2 linked regions of the Diceros bicornis minor genome follow. The protein of the gene in region 1 purifies or fractionates together with the protein of each later gene. This does not show direct contact. Links are inferred from orthologs where the notes say so. Each region holds a gene or a part of one and is shown in the gene's direction. Other genes may lie near its edges. The genes, in order: NUDCD3 and KLHL9.

The links.
Region 2: the proteins of NUDCD3 (region 1) and KLHL9 purify together in Homo sapiens (co-immunoprecipitation; 3 studies listed by BioGRID and IntAct, with this or other methods). This does not show direct contact. The link is inferred for Diceros bicornis minor from reciprocal best matches to the Homo sapiens genes NUDCD3 and KLHL9.

Annotation. Positions count from the first base shown.
Region 1 is NC_080780.1:1,557,975-1,567,962, reverse strand, and holds the start of NUDCD3 (nudC domain-containing protein 3), read left to right. Parts: upstream 1-6,238; 5' UTR 6,239-6,372; coding exon 6,373-6,564; intron 6,565-6,859; exon of another isoform or gene 6,860-9,988.
Region 2 is NC_080761.1:43,537,099-43,546,471, reverse strand, and holds the start of KLHL9 (kelch-like protein 9), read left to right. Parts: upstream 1-5,000; 5' UTR 5,001-5,525; coding exon 5,526-7,379; 3' UTR 7,380-9,373.

The DNA of each region.
Region 1 (9,988 bases):
CTATTCGGGGTCTTTTGTTGCCCCATGTGAATTTTAGGATTCTTTGTTCTATTTCCATGAAGAATGTCATTGGGCTTCTGATTGGGATTGCATTGAACCTGTAGATTGCTTTAGGTAGTATAGATATTTTAACTATGTTTATTCTTCCAATCCATGTACATGGGATATCTTTCCATTTCTTTATGTCATCATCGATTTCTTTCTTATAGTTTTCACTGTATAGGTCTTTCACCTCCTTGGTTAAATTTATTCCTAGATATTTTATTCTTTTTGTTGTGATTGTAAATGGGATTGTATTCTTGAGTTCTCTTTCTGTTAGTTCGTCATTAGAGTATAGAGATGCAACTGATTTTTCTAAGTTTATTTTGTACCTTGCAACTTTGCTGTAGTTGTTGATTATTTCTAATAGTTTTCTGATGGATTCTTTAGGGTTTTCTATATATAAAATCATGTCGTCTGCAAATAGTGAGAGTTTCGTTTCTTCATTGCCTATTTGGATTCCGTTTATTCCTTTTTCTTGCCTAATTGCTCTGGCCAGAACTTCCAACACTATGTTGAATATGAGTGGTGAGAGTGGGCACCCTTGTCTTGTTCCTGTTCTCAGAGGGATGGCTTTCAGCTTTTCCCCATTGAGTATGATGTTGGCTGTGGGTTTGTCATATATGGCCTTTATCATGTTGAGGTACTTTCATTCTATACCCATTTTGTTGAGAGTTTTTATCATAAATGGATGTTGGATCTTGTCAAGAGCTTTCTCTGCATCTATTGAGATGATCATGTGGTTTTTATTCCTCGTTTTGTTAATGTGATGTATCACGTTGAATGATTTGCGGATGTTGAGCCATCCTTGTGTCTCTGGTATAAATCCTACTTGATCGTGGTGTATGATCTTTCTAATGTATTGCTGCATTCGGTTTGCCAATATTTTGTTGAGGATTTTTGCATCTATGTTCATCAGTGATATGGGCCTGTAATTTTCCTTCTTTGTATTTTCCTTGTCTGGCTTTGGTATCAGGGTGATGTTGGTCTCAGAGAATGTGGTAAGAAGTGTTCCATCTTCCTCTGTTTTTTGGAATAGTTTGTGAAGGATAGGTATTAAACTTTCTTCGAATGTTTGGTAAAATTCTCCAGAGAAGCCATCTGGTCCTGGACTTTTATTTTTTGGGAGGTTTTTGATTATTGTTTCAATCTCTTTACTTGTGATTGGTCTATTCATGTTCTCTATTTCTTCTTGATTCAGTTTGAGAGGTTGTATGAGTCTAAGAATTTATCCATTTCTTCTAGATTGTCCAGTTTGTTGGAATATAGTTTTTCAAAGTATTCTCTTATAATCCTTCGTATTTCTGTGATATCCATTGTGATTTCTCCTCTTTCATTTCTAATTTCATTTATTTGAGCCTTCTCTGTTTTTTCTTTGGTGAGTCTGGCTAAGGGTTTGTCAATTTTGTTTATCTTCTCAAAGAACCAGCTTTTTGTTTTATTGATCCTTTCTACTGTTTTTTTGGTTTTGATTTTGTTTATTTCTGTTCTAATTTTTATTATTTTCCTCCTTCTGCTGACTGTGGGCTTTGTTTGTTCTTCTTTTTCTAATTCTGTTAGGTGTAATTTAAGATTGCTTATTTGGGCTTTTTCTTGTTTGTTAAGGTGGGCCTGTATTGCTATGAATTTCACTCTCAGGACTGCTTTTGCTGCATCCCATATGAGTTGGTATGGTGTATTTTCATTTTCATTTGTCGCCAGGTATTCTTTGATTTCTCCTTTAATTTCTTCAATGATCCATTGGTTGTTCAGTAGCATGTTGTTTAGTCTCCACATCTTTGTCACTTTCCCAGCTTTTTTCTTGAAGTTGATTTCTAGTTTCATAGCATTATGGTCAGAAAACATGCTTGTTATGATTTCAGTCTTCTTAAATTTATAGAGGTTTGCCTTGTTTCCCAACATATGGTCTATCCTTGAGAATGTTCCATGCATGCTTGACAAGAATGTGTAATCTGTTTTTTTGGATGGAGTGCTCTATATATACCTATTAAGTCCACCTGGTCTAGTTTTTCATTTAAGTCCACTATTTCCTTATTGACTTTCTGTCTGGATGATCTATCCATTGATGTAAGTGGACTGTTAAGGTCCCCAACTATTATTGTTTTGTTGTTGATATCTCCTTTTAGGTTTGTTATAATAGTTGCTTTATGTACTTTGGTGCTCCTGTGTTGGGTGCATATAAGTCTTATGTCTTCTTTGTGGAGTGTCCCTTTTATCATTACATATTGCCCCTCTTTGTCTCTCATTACCTTTTTAAATCTTGAAGTCTACTTTGTCTGATAGAAGTATGGCAACACCTGCTTTCTTTTGTTTGCCATTACCTTGGAGTATTGTCTTCTACCCCTTCACCCTGAGCCTGTGTTTGTCTTTAGAGCTGAGATGTGTTTCCTGGAGGCAGCAAATTTTTGGGTCTTGTTTTTTAATCCATCCAGCCACTGTGTGCCTTTTGATTGGGCAATTCAATCCGTTTACATTTAGAGTGATTATTTATACATGAGGGCTTAATGCTGCCATTTTGTCTCTTGTTTTTCAGTTATTACGTATTTCCCTTGTTTCTCGTCCCACGTATTTTGGATTGTTAATTCAGTTTGGTGGCTCTCTATGATGGTTTTCTCAGTTCTCTCTTTATTTATCACTTGTGTATTTGTTCTGGTTTTTTGTTTAGTGGTTACTGTGCCGTTTGTACAAAAGATCTCATAGATGAGATAGTCCATTCCCTGATAGCCTCTTGTTCCCTTAGTCTAAGCAGGTTTCATCACTTTCCTCTTCCCCTTCTAAGTTGTTGTTGTCACAACTTATTCCACTATGCATTGTGAATTTGTGGTTAAAATGAAGTGATAATATTTATTTTTGATGTTTTATTTTCCTTTATCTTTAGAGTTATAATTAAGTGTTTGCTAATCTGTTCTGACGGAGAGTTGCAATTTCTGATTTTATCTGCCTATTTATCTGCTTCCTCAAGGCTTTGTAAACCCTTTCTTTCTTTTTTTTTCAGGTATGAAGTCTTTCTTGATCAAATCTTGTAGGGGGTGTCTTGTGGCAATGAACTCCCTCAGCTTTTGTTTATCTGGGAAAGTTTTTATTTCTCCATCATATGTGAAGGATATTTTCACTGGATATAGTATTCTTGGCTGAAAGTTTTTGTCTTTCAAAATTTTGAATATATCATTCCACTCTCTCCTAGCCTGTAAGGTTTCTGCTGAAAAATCTGCTGTAAGCCTGATAGGGCTTCCTTTACAGGTTATTCTCTTCTGCCTTGCTGCCCTTAATATTTTTTCTTTATCATTGACTTTTGCCAGCTTTACTAATATATGCCTCGGAGAAGGTCTTTTTACATTGATGTAATTAGAAGTCCTGTTGGCTTCTTTTACATGTAATTCCAGTTCTGTCTTCAGGTTTGGGAAGTTCTCAGTTATTATTTCTTTGAACAAGCTCTCTGCTCCTTTTTCCCTCTATTCTCCCTCTGGAATACCTATAATCCTGACGTTGCATTTCCTAACTGAGTCAGATATTTCTTGGAGAATTTCTTCATTTCTTTGTAGTCTAAGTTCTCTTTCCCTCTGAAGCATTTCTGTGTTCCTATCCTCCAGATTGCTAATTCTTTTTTTTGTTGTTGTTGTGAGGAGGACCAGCCCTGAGCTAACATCCAATGCCAATCTTCCTCTTTTTTTACTGAGGAAGACTGGCGCTGGGCTAACATCCATGCCCATCTTCCTCTCCTTTATATGGGATGCTGCTACAGTATGGCTTAACAAGTGGTGCATCGGTGTGCGCCCAGGATCTGAACCAGCAAACCCTGGGCCGCCGCAGCAGAGCGCGTGCACCCAACCTCTTGCGCCACCGGGCCAGCCCCCAGATTGCTAATTCTATCCTCCATATTATCAGCCCTGTTGTTTAAGGACTCCAGATTTTTCTTTATCTCATCTATTGTGTTTTTCATCTCTAACAATTCTGTTTGATTTTGCTTTATATTTTCGATCTCTTTTGTGAAGAATTCCCTCTATTCAGTAATTTGGTTCCTGATTTCATTGAACTGTCTTTCAGAATTCTCTTGTAGCTCATTGAGTTTTCTTATGACAGCTGTCTTGAATTCTTTGTCATTTATATCATAGATTTCCATGCCCTCAGGACTAGTTTCTAGGTGTTTGTCTTTTTCCTTCTGGTCTATCTCCACCACCTCCTGGGGGGAGAGGTAGTCCACCCACCCTCAGATATGCAGCTGCTCATGTCTCTCAGGCATCCTGGTGTGCTGTGTGGGTATCCTCCGCTGATCAATGAATGTCCTTTTAGTTGTAGTTCGAAGGGCGAGAGACACAGGGAACCCACGGAACACCATTTTTAATGAAAGAATGACTAACAGAAGGAAGTGAGCCTGTCACTTCAAGAAAAGCAATTGATAGTTATTTATTGCCAATAATAAAGTTCAAGTTTTCAAGTAAAAATTAGAGTTTTTGAAAATCTGCATCCTGGCTCCATGAGATTCCCAATAATTAAAAACTTCTCTGAGGAATCCAGTAATGATATTACTGTATGTGGGTTTTTTTTTTTTTTTTTGGTATTGTATAATGAAATGAGTGAACATTTGGAAGAACTGCATACTCAGTGGACAAATGTTTTCAAATGATGAATGCATAGTGTTACAAAAATAATGCATGTGCAGGATCCATTCAAAGTGCGAGATAGACCAATGAATATTAACATGACAAAGTAGGAAATGTTTATTGATAAAGTTTCAGATTCCATATTGCAACTAACCTTTAAGAAACTACCACCTGTGGTGAATTTTGGTGTACTTTCAAAGAATAATGCATTTATTTGAAAAGACAGCTAAAACGCTCCTCTCTTTTCCAGCTGCTGTCTGTGTGAGACTGGGTTTCTTCACATACCTCAATCAAAACAACATATTTTGATGCAGTGAATGCAGCAGATGGGAGAATCTTGCTGCCTTCGATTGTCAGACAAGGAAGAGATTTGCAAAAATGTAAAACTATGCTACTCTTCTCACTAAACTTTTATTGCTTTAAAGAACATTATTTCTTCATAAAAATGTTAACATGTAATGTGGTTTTTACGGTTATTTAAAAGTGAGTAAATAAATATTTTAAAATTTTCTCAATTTTAATTTCTAATATGGTAACTATCGATAACCATAACCCACATAAATAAAAGTTCTTTGGAGTCTTCAATAAATTTTAAGAGCGCAAATGGGTCCTAAGTCCAAAAAGTTTCAGAACCAATGCTCTAGGGCAATCTAGCTGAGTTTGAGTTTATTTACAGTTCATCAGAGCCCATATACTATGAAGACATATGTTAACTCCTAGATTTTATTCCAGTAGAGATGCAAATCATTTCCATCCATCAGAAAAGATAACCTATGGTTTTATTATTTTGTAGGACACCAGCTAGCTTTGTGTTCAACCTAACAATCGTACTCTGTTTTCTCAAAATGCTATAAATATCCAGTTCCTCCAAATGCTCTTTGAACCAGCTTTATCACATCACTGGTTACTTTGTTAATTAAATTGTTGAATACAATCTTTGACGTGATCATTTTATATTTGTATGAGTGCTATGTTTTTAACTTTTTGAAAGAAGATTAAACTTGGTCAGATACTTAGGACATGTATATATGCAGTGTGTATGTATACCATGCACACACATGTATATACTACACACACACATATATATTTCACAATGACGGCACACCCGATTCTCTATTCTGCACCTAGCTCTCCCCACTTAAGATTCGTGCATGCACTCGCTTTATATTCTTTTCTTCTTTTATTTATGCACGTCACCTTGCATTTCTCCTTTCATTATCAACAGGACCCACACCACTCGCACGCACGCATGTTCCCCACCTGACCCACCAGCAGACGGCGCTCGCCGTCCCGCCTGTACCCTGGGAGTCGGGACACCCAAGCGAGAACCCTACCCATACACCACGTGACAATGCTGGAGGCCTCACATGACTCTGCCCGCGCCATACTCTTCCGCCCGTTTCCAACATGGCTGCTAGGCGCCGTCAGTCCCGCAGCCCCATGCCCTCTTGCGCCTAGGCGCACTTCGGCGCCCACGTCGCTCCTTAGTGAGGCCGCCGGGGGAAGCCGGCAGGGCGGCGAGGGCAGGGCGGCGAGGGCGGGGCCCGCGGCAAGGCCGCCCTAGTGCAGCCCGGCCCAGCCCAGCCCGTCCGCGGGTGCTGAACCAGCGCGGACCAGAAGTCTCGCGGGCGCGCCGGCGGCGGAGCCGTTACCGCAGCGCACCGGAAGTGGCCGGGGGCCGGTGTCCGGGCGGCGCCCGCAGTGAGCAAGCTTCCCTCCGGCCGGCGACGCCATGGAGCCCGGGGCGGCGGAGCTGTACGACCAGGCCCTGCTGGGCATCCTGCAGCACGTGGGCAACGTCCAGGACTTCCTGCGCGTCCTCTTCGGCTTCCTTTACCGCAAGACCGACTTCTACCGCCTGCTGCGCCACCCGTCAGACCGTATGGGCTTCCCGCCGGGGGCCGCGCAGGCGCTGGTGCTGCAGGTAACTCGCGGGGGCGGGCGGCCCGGGATGGGGGGCAGCGAGTGCCCGGACTCGCGCGAGCCCGCCCCGGAAGCCCCTGTACCCTCGAGACCCCGAGCCCCGCGAGTCTGCTCGCGGGAGCGCCGGACCCCCGGGCCCCTCCGCGCCTCTCTCCGCTCCCAGCCTTAGTGGCCCCCTCTGGCCCTTCCCCGGACCCGCCCCCTGGGGCCGCGGCTGAGGGTAAGCCGAGATGCTGGTGGGGTATCAAGTTAGCCCTCTGTGGGAGCTGGACTGGCTCTTGTGCAGCCCGGTCTGACGCAGGGTGCACTTGGGCCCGGTTCAGCTCCCGCAGCGCTTAACCTTCTGAGGTGCCGGAGGCTGCCAGTCAGGGAATGAAAACCGTGCAGGCGGGACGGGGAGGCAGCGGCAGCACGGATTTCCTGCACGCCCCGGGACTTCAGAGACTGGAGGTGGAAAGGAGATTGTGGTGATCGGTGGGTGTGGTCCCCTTGTTCGAAATGTGACTTTCCAGGTCAAAGACAGTCATAGTACTCAGGGAATTTATACATTTGAGCACATGTTTATACATCCCAGGTTGCGTTTACTGTGTGTTTGAGATACTGTTAATACTCAGTCACTGACGTTGACTGGGTACCTTGGAATGTAATAAGTATTTTCTGAATGTGTTTATTCTCTCAACTGCCACAGGCATTGGAGATACAGTGGTGATGTGGATGGTGTAAGTGATGGTCTCTCTCCTTGTGACACTTCCATTATCGTTAGGAAGATAAAACACAGTAACAGAGAACTATGCAAGGCCAGTTATGTGACAGAGCCCAGAGGGAAGTGAGCAGAGGAGAGGAACAGCAGGGATGGTTCTGGAAATCAAGAAAGATTTTGTAGGGGAGGTGGGACTTTGATGGAATTGAAAGCAGGTACTCAGCCAAGCATTGAGTCTGTTTGTAGGAACCTGAGACGATAGAAATGCTGGTGATACCTTCCACAGTTCTCTAGCACTTTGCGGTTTATAAAGTACTTTCAAATGTTACCTCCTGAAGTCTTGCCACAAGCTGCAGGTTGGTCAGGTGTTGTTTTTCTCAGTGCCTGCATGAAGAAACAAAAGCTTAGAATGTGTAACTACTAAAGATAATATGGTCAAATGAGGGCTGGGTTGGTATTCAATTTTAGAACTGCAGGCTAGTCCTCATCCTTTCAGTGGCTGAGTGCCATCTGAGTAATGGTTTTTATCAGGCCCTGTGGCAGTTGGATGCTTTCATGGAAGTCCCTGTGAAATTGGTAAGGTTGAATTTTATGTGGCAAATGAGGATGCTAATTCAGCAAGGTTAGGTTATTTGACCAAATTTATCATAGAGCTGGAACTCAAAACTTCATTTTTCTGATTCTAGATCTTTGTCTTTTGTTTTTTAATCATGCCATAGGAGGATGGGAACACTTTTGTCTAGGGTGATTGTAGTTTACAGAAAAGATGTGGAGGAGAAAGGAACATTTGTTGAGCACCTGGCATCTCCTAGTTATTGTGTGAGGTGATTGTACATGCTAGGATGTTATTTAATCCTAACACAACCTGAAAGTTGGTCTTTGCCGTTGTTTTACAGATGACCTGGCGGAGGTAATTTGTTTTTCTGGTAACAGTGTATAAAACATAAAAAGAGTATATGTTCCAGGCACTCTTACAGGTTAGGACTTGGTGACCAGTGTAATGAAGTGGAGGTGGGGAGCAGGGCAGAGGGAGGGAAGAATGAGTGGAAGATGATCCAAGGTTTCAAACTTAGGGGACTGGAATAATGATAATGCATTAACTGAACTGCCACCTAAGTTTAGGGGAAAAAGCTTAGTTTCAGACAACTTGAATTTGAGCTGGCAGACAGAAGTTCCTGCCCACAGGCTGTTGGAATCGTGGCACTGACCTTGGAGATGGAGGAACGGGAGCAGTTTGAGGGAGAGAGAAGAGCCGAAGGTGGAGGGCAGTTCTTTGGGGAACAATCCCAGTGAAGGGACGAGAGAAGAAGAGGTGGTGTGATTGGTGGGGGACAGAGGGAAGTGGGCAGGACAGTAAGTTTCACAGAAAACAAGGGGACAGTTTCCAGCAGATGGTTAAGAAGGGTGTCTTGTTTGTTGAAAGTGATTCCCAACTGTCAGCATTGCCCAAGGAACTTTAAAAAAGCAGACATTCTCTGGGTGTTTTGGTTGGGTAGATCAAGATGAATCCTGGGAGCTATTCTTGTATGCACAGAGGCATTTGGCAGGAGGCTTGTAAAGCGAGTTCAGGATTGGGCAAGAGTTGTTGTGGGGTGGGACATTAGGATACTGAGTCAGATTGAGTGACTGCGCTGTGGTGCAGCACAGTGTTACCTCTCAGTGGTGTTGGGTGATGACCTGATCCCCACTCCTACTCCTCTGCTTCCCCGGGGGTTTCTTCTCTGCTGACTTGAAGGAATATGTCCACCCCACCTGAGGTGGGGCGCTTGGGGATCTCTTCAGAACACAGGCAAAGAGGGTTTGGATGGGAGTATTGGGGTGCTTTGTTCTGGAACTCAGAAGTTCTCCCCTGATATTTTGGGGTGTGGACTGTTGGTGTGGTTAGCGTAAGGCTTCTCAGACTTTTCCTCCTACTTGTAAGGGCTTGCACAGCCTGGATGCACAGCCTGAAGGACCCTCAGCAGGAAAGATGCACGTGAAAATCCCATTCCCCTCCATCATGTATTAGTATGTTTAAAAAAAAAAAAAAGTTTAGAATGCCATTTCATTCATGTCGGTTGATACTCTGTGTTTATCCTGGAGTCCAGTTTGACAGGCCTGCTAAGTAGAAGCTCCCCCAGGAGAATCAGGAAATCCGGCTCTGTCTGTTCCTCACTGAATTTGTTGGGAAATCTCGGGAGAGTCACTCTCATCTGTCAGTTGAGAAGGTTGATTGGAGGTCACAGGTGCCTCATGCAGCTCCACAATTCTGTGATTCTAGAATGAGTGCCGAGGTCAGTAGCGAGTAGAGAGGTGAAACAGGTGGCCAGTTAGAGGAGGTAGGAGTGCTGAGTGAGCAGAGGCATTGGGTGCGATGAGGAGTATCAGGCCTGGGGTTCCAGGGAAGTCCCAGGGGTTAGGAGAGAGCTTCGCTGTTGCTTTTTTTGTGGAGTTAAGATGAAGATCTGGGGCTTAAGGAGGATGAGTGGCTCTGAGGGCAAAGGGTCTGCTGTCATAAACATGGATGTGAGAGAAATGAGTCAGGGGCTCAGGTTCTCTGAAGAAGTAGAATTGGGTCTTTTATTGTTTCTAGTTTTTAGCCGTACGATTTTATTCATTTTCCTCTGCCTACATCTCCTTTCAGTGTTCACTGCTTCCTATATGTATATTTTACTTCCTTCTTTTGCTGGTGGGACGTTGGGCAGGTTACTTACCCTCTCTGAGCGTTACTGTTCCTCATCTTTGC
Region 2 (9,373 bases), on another chromosome or scaffold:
CCCTGCCTGAAAATGAAGACTCGTTCTCTTTGTAACGAAGACGATGGCAAGAGACTTATGCCAATATTAGGGTCAATTCCTGCCAGGAAAGAGCCCCTTATCAGCTCTGGAGTAAAATTCCAGAGGAATTTCTGGAGGTAGAAAGGAGCACATCTATGCAGACCAGAAGCCTGCCCTCCAGACTTGGTCTCTGGCCCTGTCACACTTGGTCAGCAGGGGCCTCTTTTCCTGTGACAGCTTTATTAGCCCACAGTCACTGGATCCTACTTTCTGCTTCCTTTGAACTACATGGGCTGCCCTCACTGTTCAAAAGTATTCAACATAAAAGAGGGATACTTCTCTTACATATGTTTCAACAAAATCTGGAAATATCGTTCAACTATTATTCTCTACTTATGTCCATCTGGGAAAGCTTTAGGCCAGAAACCACAACAGAACAGGAAGCAGTTGTATTAAAAGGGCAGTGCAAGTAAACGGAGTGAAGGAGGAGGGTTCCTGGTAACTTCTACACTGAAGAAGAAGGAAACTGTTGTGACATGGAAGTAATAGATCCAGGAAAGCTGGGAGAGGTGCCAGTAGAAGTGTGCAGGTGCCAAAATGGGCAAAAGAATACAATGTCTTTCCCATTCCTGTCTAGGAGCTTCCTCCCAATTTCAGATATTGATTTAAGCCACTGTGCTGACTGAATATAGGTCAAACATATCTTTGATATGATGCATACCTGTTTTTCAGTCTTCAAGGTTCTTGCCAGAATTCAGCTGACTTTGGTCAGTCAGCTATCAAGAGTGAGATGGTACAATTTCAAACCAGTTTATAGAAAAAGACATGTAATATTCTCATATAGGTTTATATGGAGAAAATGAAGACAATGGCTATCACTTATTAAATGTTAACTCCGAGGAAGGAACGATCCTAAATGCTTTAAAATGTACTTACATCAGCTCTACAAATATTTTTTACTCCATATTCCATTTAAGAAAAATGAAACTCAGGGAAGTTGAGTTGCCTCTGGGCAGAATGTGGGTTCCATGCAGAATCCCACATAGTGAGTTATGGTTGATTCTTTAAGTTACATGTTGGGTTTCTGTTTTGTTTTGTTTTTATCTATTACTTGCAGAATTATGATTTCTCTTTTTCACTGTACTTCTCTTTTTGATGGCTACATTTGTACTTTCTGATGATTTTAATATATTTTTGCTCTTTCCCTTAGATTTTTGTGGAAGAGAAATTCTCCAATCCAATTTCATTTTTCCATTTGATGAAGGAAGTTTCTCAAAATTTTACATTCATTGCAGTATGGTCATTTCTGAGTCCACAAAATTTCATGATTTTTATAAAGCCAACGCTGACCTCTGTAGAACAATTCAAACGTTAATCAGGAAAGATCATCAAGCAATAATATCAAAGAATAGAGCAGGAAAAATTCTTACATACCTAGCCTTACCATCTTTACATACCAGCTTACATACCAGCTTCACCACAAATCAACTGTATTTATAAAACAGCAACAATATAAACATGGTGACAGTAAGGAAAGTTAGGTGACCAGAGTAATAAAGAAAATAATCCCAGAAATTGTGGTATTATCAGTAATAAGTAATTTTGGAATTAAGGGTATCTTAGATGTTAATAAGGAAGAAAAGTAGTTTCAGTAAATGGTAACAGGATAAATACCTGGCAATCTAGACACAAATCAATTTAGATTCTTGTCTCATAGATGAAGATAAAATCCTAATAGAATATAGAAATAAATGTAAAAGATATAAAATATAAAAGGGAACTGATCATTCATAAGATCGATAGAGGAATGAGAATGGGAGAGGACTGGTCCTACATGTTCAACATTCTGGCACAGGAGAAAATACTTAAAAATGAGCTGTTATTTGTCAACATAAAATTGACAAAGAGTTGCATCATAGGAATACAGCTGCCATCTGCATAGAAAGGTTTATGTCTACTTTTAAGAATTAAAGATATATAAAACATCATTCATAAGGACAATACAAAAGTAGTTAATATAAAATAAAACCCAAATAAAGAGAACTAAAAATAGCAAACAAAGCAAAAGAAAAAACTCTCTAGCCCACTAGTATTTTAAAACAGTTGAACAATGATGCTTGACATTTTAGCCTATTAAATAAGCAGTTATTTAAAAGAAATAAAATATCGATTTTATATGCTTTGTGCCACTACATCCATTTCTTGAAATCTGTCTCCCCAAAAAAATGTTTGTAAAAGGTTAAAAAAATTAGGTCCAATAATATTAACACACATTTTTTCTTCAGGTCCTACCCTATTTCTCTTCTCTTTACAGATAAACTTCTCAAAAGAACTTTCTATCCACTCTGTCTCCAACACCTTTCCTCTTATTTAACCTTAGTCAATATACTCCAGTCTGGATTCTATGGAATTAATTCTGCCAAAACAGCCCTCATTTTCCCTGAATACAAGACATTGGCTTTTAAACACATTTCTTTCCTTAAATATCTTCTCATCACCATTCTCTCCTGCTTGTCCTCCTATTGTGCTGCCATTAAATTCCAGCGCCCTTTTCAGGCTCCTCATTCTCTTCCCTGCATTCAAATGTGAAGGTCCCTAAGGTTCAGTTTCTGGTCATCTTCCTAGTCTCTACTCTCTTTCTAAAAGAACTCATTCATTCTCTGGCCTTCAGGGACCAGGTAGACCCCAGCTCCCAAGTTAACACTTCTAGCCTTGACCCTCTGTAAATTCTAGAACTGTATGTCCAACTGTCAAAGTTGAGAGTCTGCATCCTCCAGTTTCTGGTGATAGGAGCTACTTTTCTTTTGCCTATGGTGTTAGCATATAATGTAGTTGAAATTAATTAATTGATCAATATTTTTATGTTTTCTTCCAGCAAAAAGGAAAGTTTCAAGAAGGCTGGCACTTTTCTTTCATCACCTTTTTATCCTGTGAAGGCAGTCATAGAACCTGTAATTTAGATACTCAAGTGTTACATATAGCTTGAATGAAATCAATGAATGAATGAACTGTACCTCCATACTTCACTTGAGGTTGCAATATCAGTCTTGGCATTGATTTATTAAAAATATTGAAATACAATAAATATAGCAAAATAGTTAAGTACATAAGTACATTAATAGGGTCACCTATGTTGGGCTGGTGCCCTCTTTGAACTGGATGCTTTAACTTATAGTTGCTTAATACTATCAACAAATGTTGTGACAAACTTTGTTCAATTTATTTCATGATGAAGGCAGAAAAAACAGTCTTTTGAAATGACTAAACATGTGGGAGTATGATGAATTGTATCTCTCCATAAGAATTGTTTCATTAAGATTATAGGTCTGGTTCCTTAGCTCTTAACATTCCCTGCAAGCTTGACAATAAAGAGAAGGATCTCATGATTTCCTGCTCTAACAACTTCCCAGGTACAGCAGTTCTATTCTTTCTTTTCCATATAGAAACTGATTCCTTGGAAATACCTCTTCATGGCCAGTATGGAGTCCTTCCATCCTCAATTCCTGCACCAAGCAGGTCTCAAGGACTTCCCAATGCTGATAAAGTCCAGGGAAGAACTTCTCCAGGCCAGTCTCATTCCAACCATCCTTTTATGCTGAACAGGTTGAAGATCTGCTGAAGCATCTGGTGGAGGACAGCAGTGGTCTGAGCCTTCTGGACCTTGCTGCTATCCACCAAAAACAACTGAAAACAATTGGAACCAGCTAACTGTCCATCAGTAGGGGCCTGGTTAAATAATTTATGACACACCCATTCAATGGGAAACAATACAACTGCTTAAAAAGATAAAGAAGTTCTCTATGCATTGAAGATCTCCAAGTGAAAAAAGATAGGTGCAGAACAGTGAGTGGGGCATGCCATCTTTTATATAAAAATAGAGAGAGTGTAATAAAAGAATATAGCTATATTCTTATTAGTTTGCATATGTGTAAAGAAACCGGAAGGATTTAAAAGACAGTAATAACTTCAAACTGTGAAAAATGTTGGAAAAAATTGTGTCAAAGTATACATTTATTCATGTGCCAAAATTTAAATTTACTGGTAATTAAAGAAATACAAGTTAATAAAATATCCACAAAGGGAAAGATCAGTAGAGGGGAAATGCACACTCAAACATTGCTGGTGGCAATATTTGGAAACAAATTTTTATGTCTTGAATCACTATTTTACCCTTAGGATTTATAGAGAAACAAGGGAAAGGTTTGTGCCCAGATTCTATAGGTTTATTAAGATTCTATAAAACAATGGGAGACAAGAAGGTATGTTCAAGAACATACAATGTTCTTGTATGTTGAACAATGTTTGTTCAAGAACAAACAATGGGGAAAGAAAACTACAGTATGTTTAGTTATTGGACAATTGTGTACTCATTTAAAAATTTGTGAGTGGAAAACAAAAGTATGAAAAAATTATCGATGTTGGAATTCCACTGAGAGGCAAAAATTCAGGCTATATTATCTACATAGCATGGTCACAATTTGGTATTTTAAGAGAGACAAATGATATGTATTTTAAATAATGAAAAATTTGAAAATATGAACCAAAGTTACAATTGAGGTGTCTATTACTTTGTGTGGGATAAGAATTATAAAGTTTTTAATAGAGGAAAATTTTCATGCAACTTCCCCTTATGCCGTCATCTGCCATATTTCCTTTCAATTTCTACAAAAGCCGCATTTTATTGTTATTCAAAATACAGAAGCCAGTACGCATAAATCTTAAAGAAAAAGTACGCATTTGTGGGGAGAGCTCAGATGCCGTGAAGAGTTGACAGCAAACGTGCAGCATAATATACGGGCACCCCTTCCGGGCCTATTGAATCCCACAGACAAAGCGACCCGCTGAGGCTCCGCTCGCGCCCACCCCCATCCTCACCCTTCCAGAGCCCTGCGCCCTTCCTCCCCAGCCCCCACACGCCCGCCCACTGACAGGTCGGGCGGCCGCGCAGGCGCAGTAGCTGCCGCGGCCGCTCCTAGCCCGGGGGATCCTGGGACTCGGCCTTTCCGGAAGGACCGGCTCGGCGTCTGGGTCTAGGCCCGTGTTCCAGGCCCAGATCCAGGCCCAGGCCCGTGTTCCAGGCCCTTGCTCCAAGACAGACCCGTAGCCGCGGCGACGCTCTCGTGACAGCGGAGGGCGCAGCGGGCCGCTCGCTGAGGTGCCCGGCCTCGCCGCCGAGCGAGCCGCGGAGCCACAGTACGTGGCGGCGCTCCCCTCGGCTCGGAGAGGAACTGCTGGAGGAGCGGCGGCGCAGGCCTGACCAGCTGAACCGGGTCACTTAACTGGCTTCAGGTGATGAATCATCTGCATAATAGTGAGATTTGAGGTCCACAGCGCTTTGTGGTCCTGCGCCAGAGCGGTTTTCAGTGGATGACTGATTGGTGTGTTCCGAGGGGTGCCGCAGTGATTGCTTGCCCTTGCTAAGGAAAGCGAGCTCTCCTGCTCTTTGGACATCCTCGTTTCCTAAAGCATTCAGGTTGTGACCTCTGTCTCCGGCATACGTCTTTGTGCAAGAGGAAGGCTTTCACATGAAAGTGTCTCTTGGTAGCGGCGAGATGGGCGTTTCTGCCCATTTACAGCCTTGCAAAGCAGGAACCACGCGTTTCTTTACCAGCAATACTCACAGTTCCGTGGTATTGCAAGGCTTTGATCAGCTCAGAATAGAAGGATTGCTTTGTGATGTGACCCTGGTACCAGGTGATGGAGATGAAATCTTCCCTGTTCACAGAGCTATGATGGCATCTGCTAGTGATTATTTCAAGGCTATGTTCACAGGGGGAATGAAAGAACAAGATTTAATGTGCATTAAGCTTCATGGGGTGAACAAGGTTGGTCTGAAGAAAATAATTGATTTTATTTATACTGCAAAACTTTCTCTTAATATGGACAATCTTCAGGACACACTTGAAGCTGCCAGCTTTTTACAAATTTTACCTGTTTTGGACTTCTGTAAAGTGTTTCTTATTTCAGGAGTCTCTCTAGATAACTGTGTTGAAGTTGGGCGAATTGCTAACACCTATAATCTTATAGAAGTGGATAAATATGTCAATAATTTCATCCTGAAGAATTTTCCTGCATTATTGAGTACTGGGGAGTTTCTAAAACTCCCTTTTGAACGGCTTGCCTTTGTGCTTTCCAGTAATAGTCTTAAGCACTGTACTGAACTTGAGCTCTTCAAGGCTGCCTGTCGCTGGCTAAGGTTGGAAGACCCTCGGATGGATTATGCTGCAAAATTAATGAAGAATATTCGATTTCCACTGATGACACCACAGGACCTCATCAATTATGTGCAGACAGTAGATTTCATGAGAACAGATAATACCTGTGTGAATTTGCTTTTGGAAGCTAGCAATTACCAAATGATGCCATATATGCAACCAGTGATGCAGTCAGATAGAACTGCTATTCGATCTGACTCGACACACTTGGTTACATTAGGAGGAGTTTTGAGACAGCAGCTGGTTGTCAGTAAAGAATTACGGATGTATGATGAAAGGGCACAAGAGTGGAGATCTTTAGCCCCCATGGATGCTCCTCGTTATCAGCATGGCATTGCTGTCATTGGAAACTTTCTTTATGTAGTTGGTGGTCAAAGTAATTATGATACAAAAGGAAAAACTGCTGTTGACACGGTTTTCAGATTTGATCCTCGGTATAATAAATGGATGCAGGTTGCATCATTAAATGAAAAGCGCACATTCTTCCACTTGAGTGCCCTCAAAGGACATTTGTATGCTGTTGGTGGGCGAAGTGCAGCTGGTGAACTGGCTACAGTAGAATGTTACAACCCAAGAATGAATGAGTGGAGTTATGTTGCAAAAATGAGTGAACCCCACTATGGCCATGCTGGAACAGTGTATGGAGGCTTAATGTATATTTCAGGAGGAATTACTCATGACACTTTCCAAAATGAGCTCATGTGTTTTGACCCAGATACAGACAAATGGACACAGAAAGCTCCAATGACTACAGTCAGAGGCCTGCATTGCATGTGTACAGTTGGAGACAAGCTCTATGTCATTGGTGGCAATCACTTCAGAGGAACAAGTGATTATGATGATGTTCTAAGCTGTGAATACTATTCACCAACCCTTGACCAGTGGACACCAATTGCTGCTATGTTAAGAGGTCAAAGTGATGTTGGAGTTGCTGTCTTTGAAAATAAAATCTATGTTATAGGTGGATATTCTTGGAATAATCGTTGTATGGTAGAAATTGTCCAGAAATATGACCCAGAAAAGGATGAGTGGCATAAAGTTTTTGACCTTCCAGAGTCACTTGGTGGCATTCGAGCTTGTACTCTCACAGTTTTTCCACCTGAAGAAAACCCTGGGTCACCTTCTAGAGAATCACCTCTTTCAGCACCTTCAGATCATTCTTAGGAATAAGGTGTAATACCTTTGCAGTGCATCATGGATGATCTCTTTCCCCTTCAGCTGTATCTTCTTAACAGTGATTGGTAGTTATTAGATAAAAAGGTAACTGATGTTATTTGTGTTGTTTGGCTTAATGTGTTTATCAATGGTTAACAAATGTGTTCTGAAAATGTATTCAACATAGCCAACTGTTTTAACAAATGTAAAAAGATATGTAGAAAAATGTTCAAGTTAGATGTCTTTTTGTGGTGTTGTGTAAGTCAAATTGTAGATGATTGTAGTAAATGTATAATTATGTTCATTATGCTTCAAAGTTGAAAGTTTTCATCTTTGACCGCAAAACATCAAAGGGAGGCTGTGTGCTCTAACCTAAAAGAATAAACAAAAGATCACCAAGCGTTATTAGCTACCTCCCTTTTTTCATAGAGTTTTTGCCATAGCTCCCAACTCACCAGATTGTGTGAGTGCATTCAGATAATGTGAAGTTTCTTAGACAGACAGGAGAAACAATAAATTCAGAAATATTAACTAGAAAAAACAGCATAGCCCTAAGTCAGGGTTTAGTATCTCTTTGGAGAGAGGGACAGGGAGAGAGAAAATATAAACAAACACACATATACATACATACATATGTATATATGTACATACACATATACATGTATAATTATTAAGTTGATTGGCTCTTCAGCTATAGTAGAATTGGTTTTAAATTTAAATTATTTTCTTTCATATAGCAGCTATTTCTATTTAAATGGGAATTCAGTACCAGAGAATAAATGTCTATATAGTCATAATTGAATTGAGATAGATAAGGGCTACAGCATATTAAATTCACAACCAAATTTGTCATTTGACTAAATTGTTACTTCAGATGAAATGTCTACTACTTTTTCTGCTTGTATATTATTTTCTGTAGAGTTGCTTTTATACAGGTTATTTAGCAAAGTTTAGGTTTCCGAGAATTGTTTTGCTCAGTAAATTTAGGCTCTGCTATTTTCCACCTTTTTCTTTGGTAAAACTTATGATATGAAAAAAGCAAAGAAAGAAATGTGCTGAACAAAGCTATAGGATTGTAAGTTCAGTCTCCCAACTTAGTCATCCTAACGTGATTATTTGATCTGGTGGGGTTGCCGTGGTGCTGCACCACCCCATGTGGGTCCTGAGCTTTATGTGACCTGCCTCGAGCCTATGATCTGAGCAAGCAGGTGATATGCTCTTGTCTGCATCAAATCAGAAGAATGTCCTTACGGCTATGTCTAAAGGACAGGACCAACTTCAGATTCCCTAAGAAGCCAGCTACAGAAAGCCTAGGACACTGCTGTCTTGCAGGCAGTACTAAATGAGATTTTCAGCCTCTTCAATACCTAGGGCATCTCTAATGGTTGAGAACCACATGGGGAGATCTTAATGGGACCTTAGCAAATGGAATCATAGGAGTCCTCTGTAGTGATTCTAAAGAAAAGCTTTCCTGGAATAAATTGTCTACCTGAAGAAAAATTTACATATATATATTTACATACCTATATATGTATATCCCTATACTTGGGAGATTGTCATAGTGTAAGTCAGGAACAACCTCGTTATTGACAATCCCATAATAAAACTCAGGAACCAAGACAGAAGGAATTGGCTTCCAGAGATCTGACCCTTATTGCCCATACGAGTGTTGATTGATTAAATGCTTTTTGTGATTTCTGCCTTGGCAGAAATTTTCATACTTTCTGTGTTTTTTTAATGACTCACTTTTTTATTACTAAAAATAGCACATTTGAGTACATCTAGAAAATAGAAAAAGTAGAAATTACTGTTAACCTTGTGCATTGAATAAGCAAGAAATGCCATTCTAATAATTTCCTCAATTATTAATAAGGTTAAATATTTGTGTTTTTTGAGTAGGTGTGTTTCCTCTTTAATCGAATGTTCATGTTCTTTGCCTTTGTAATGCCTATTAGAGTTGCTTTGTTTTTCATATCAAGTTATAGCATCTCTTTATATAATAA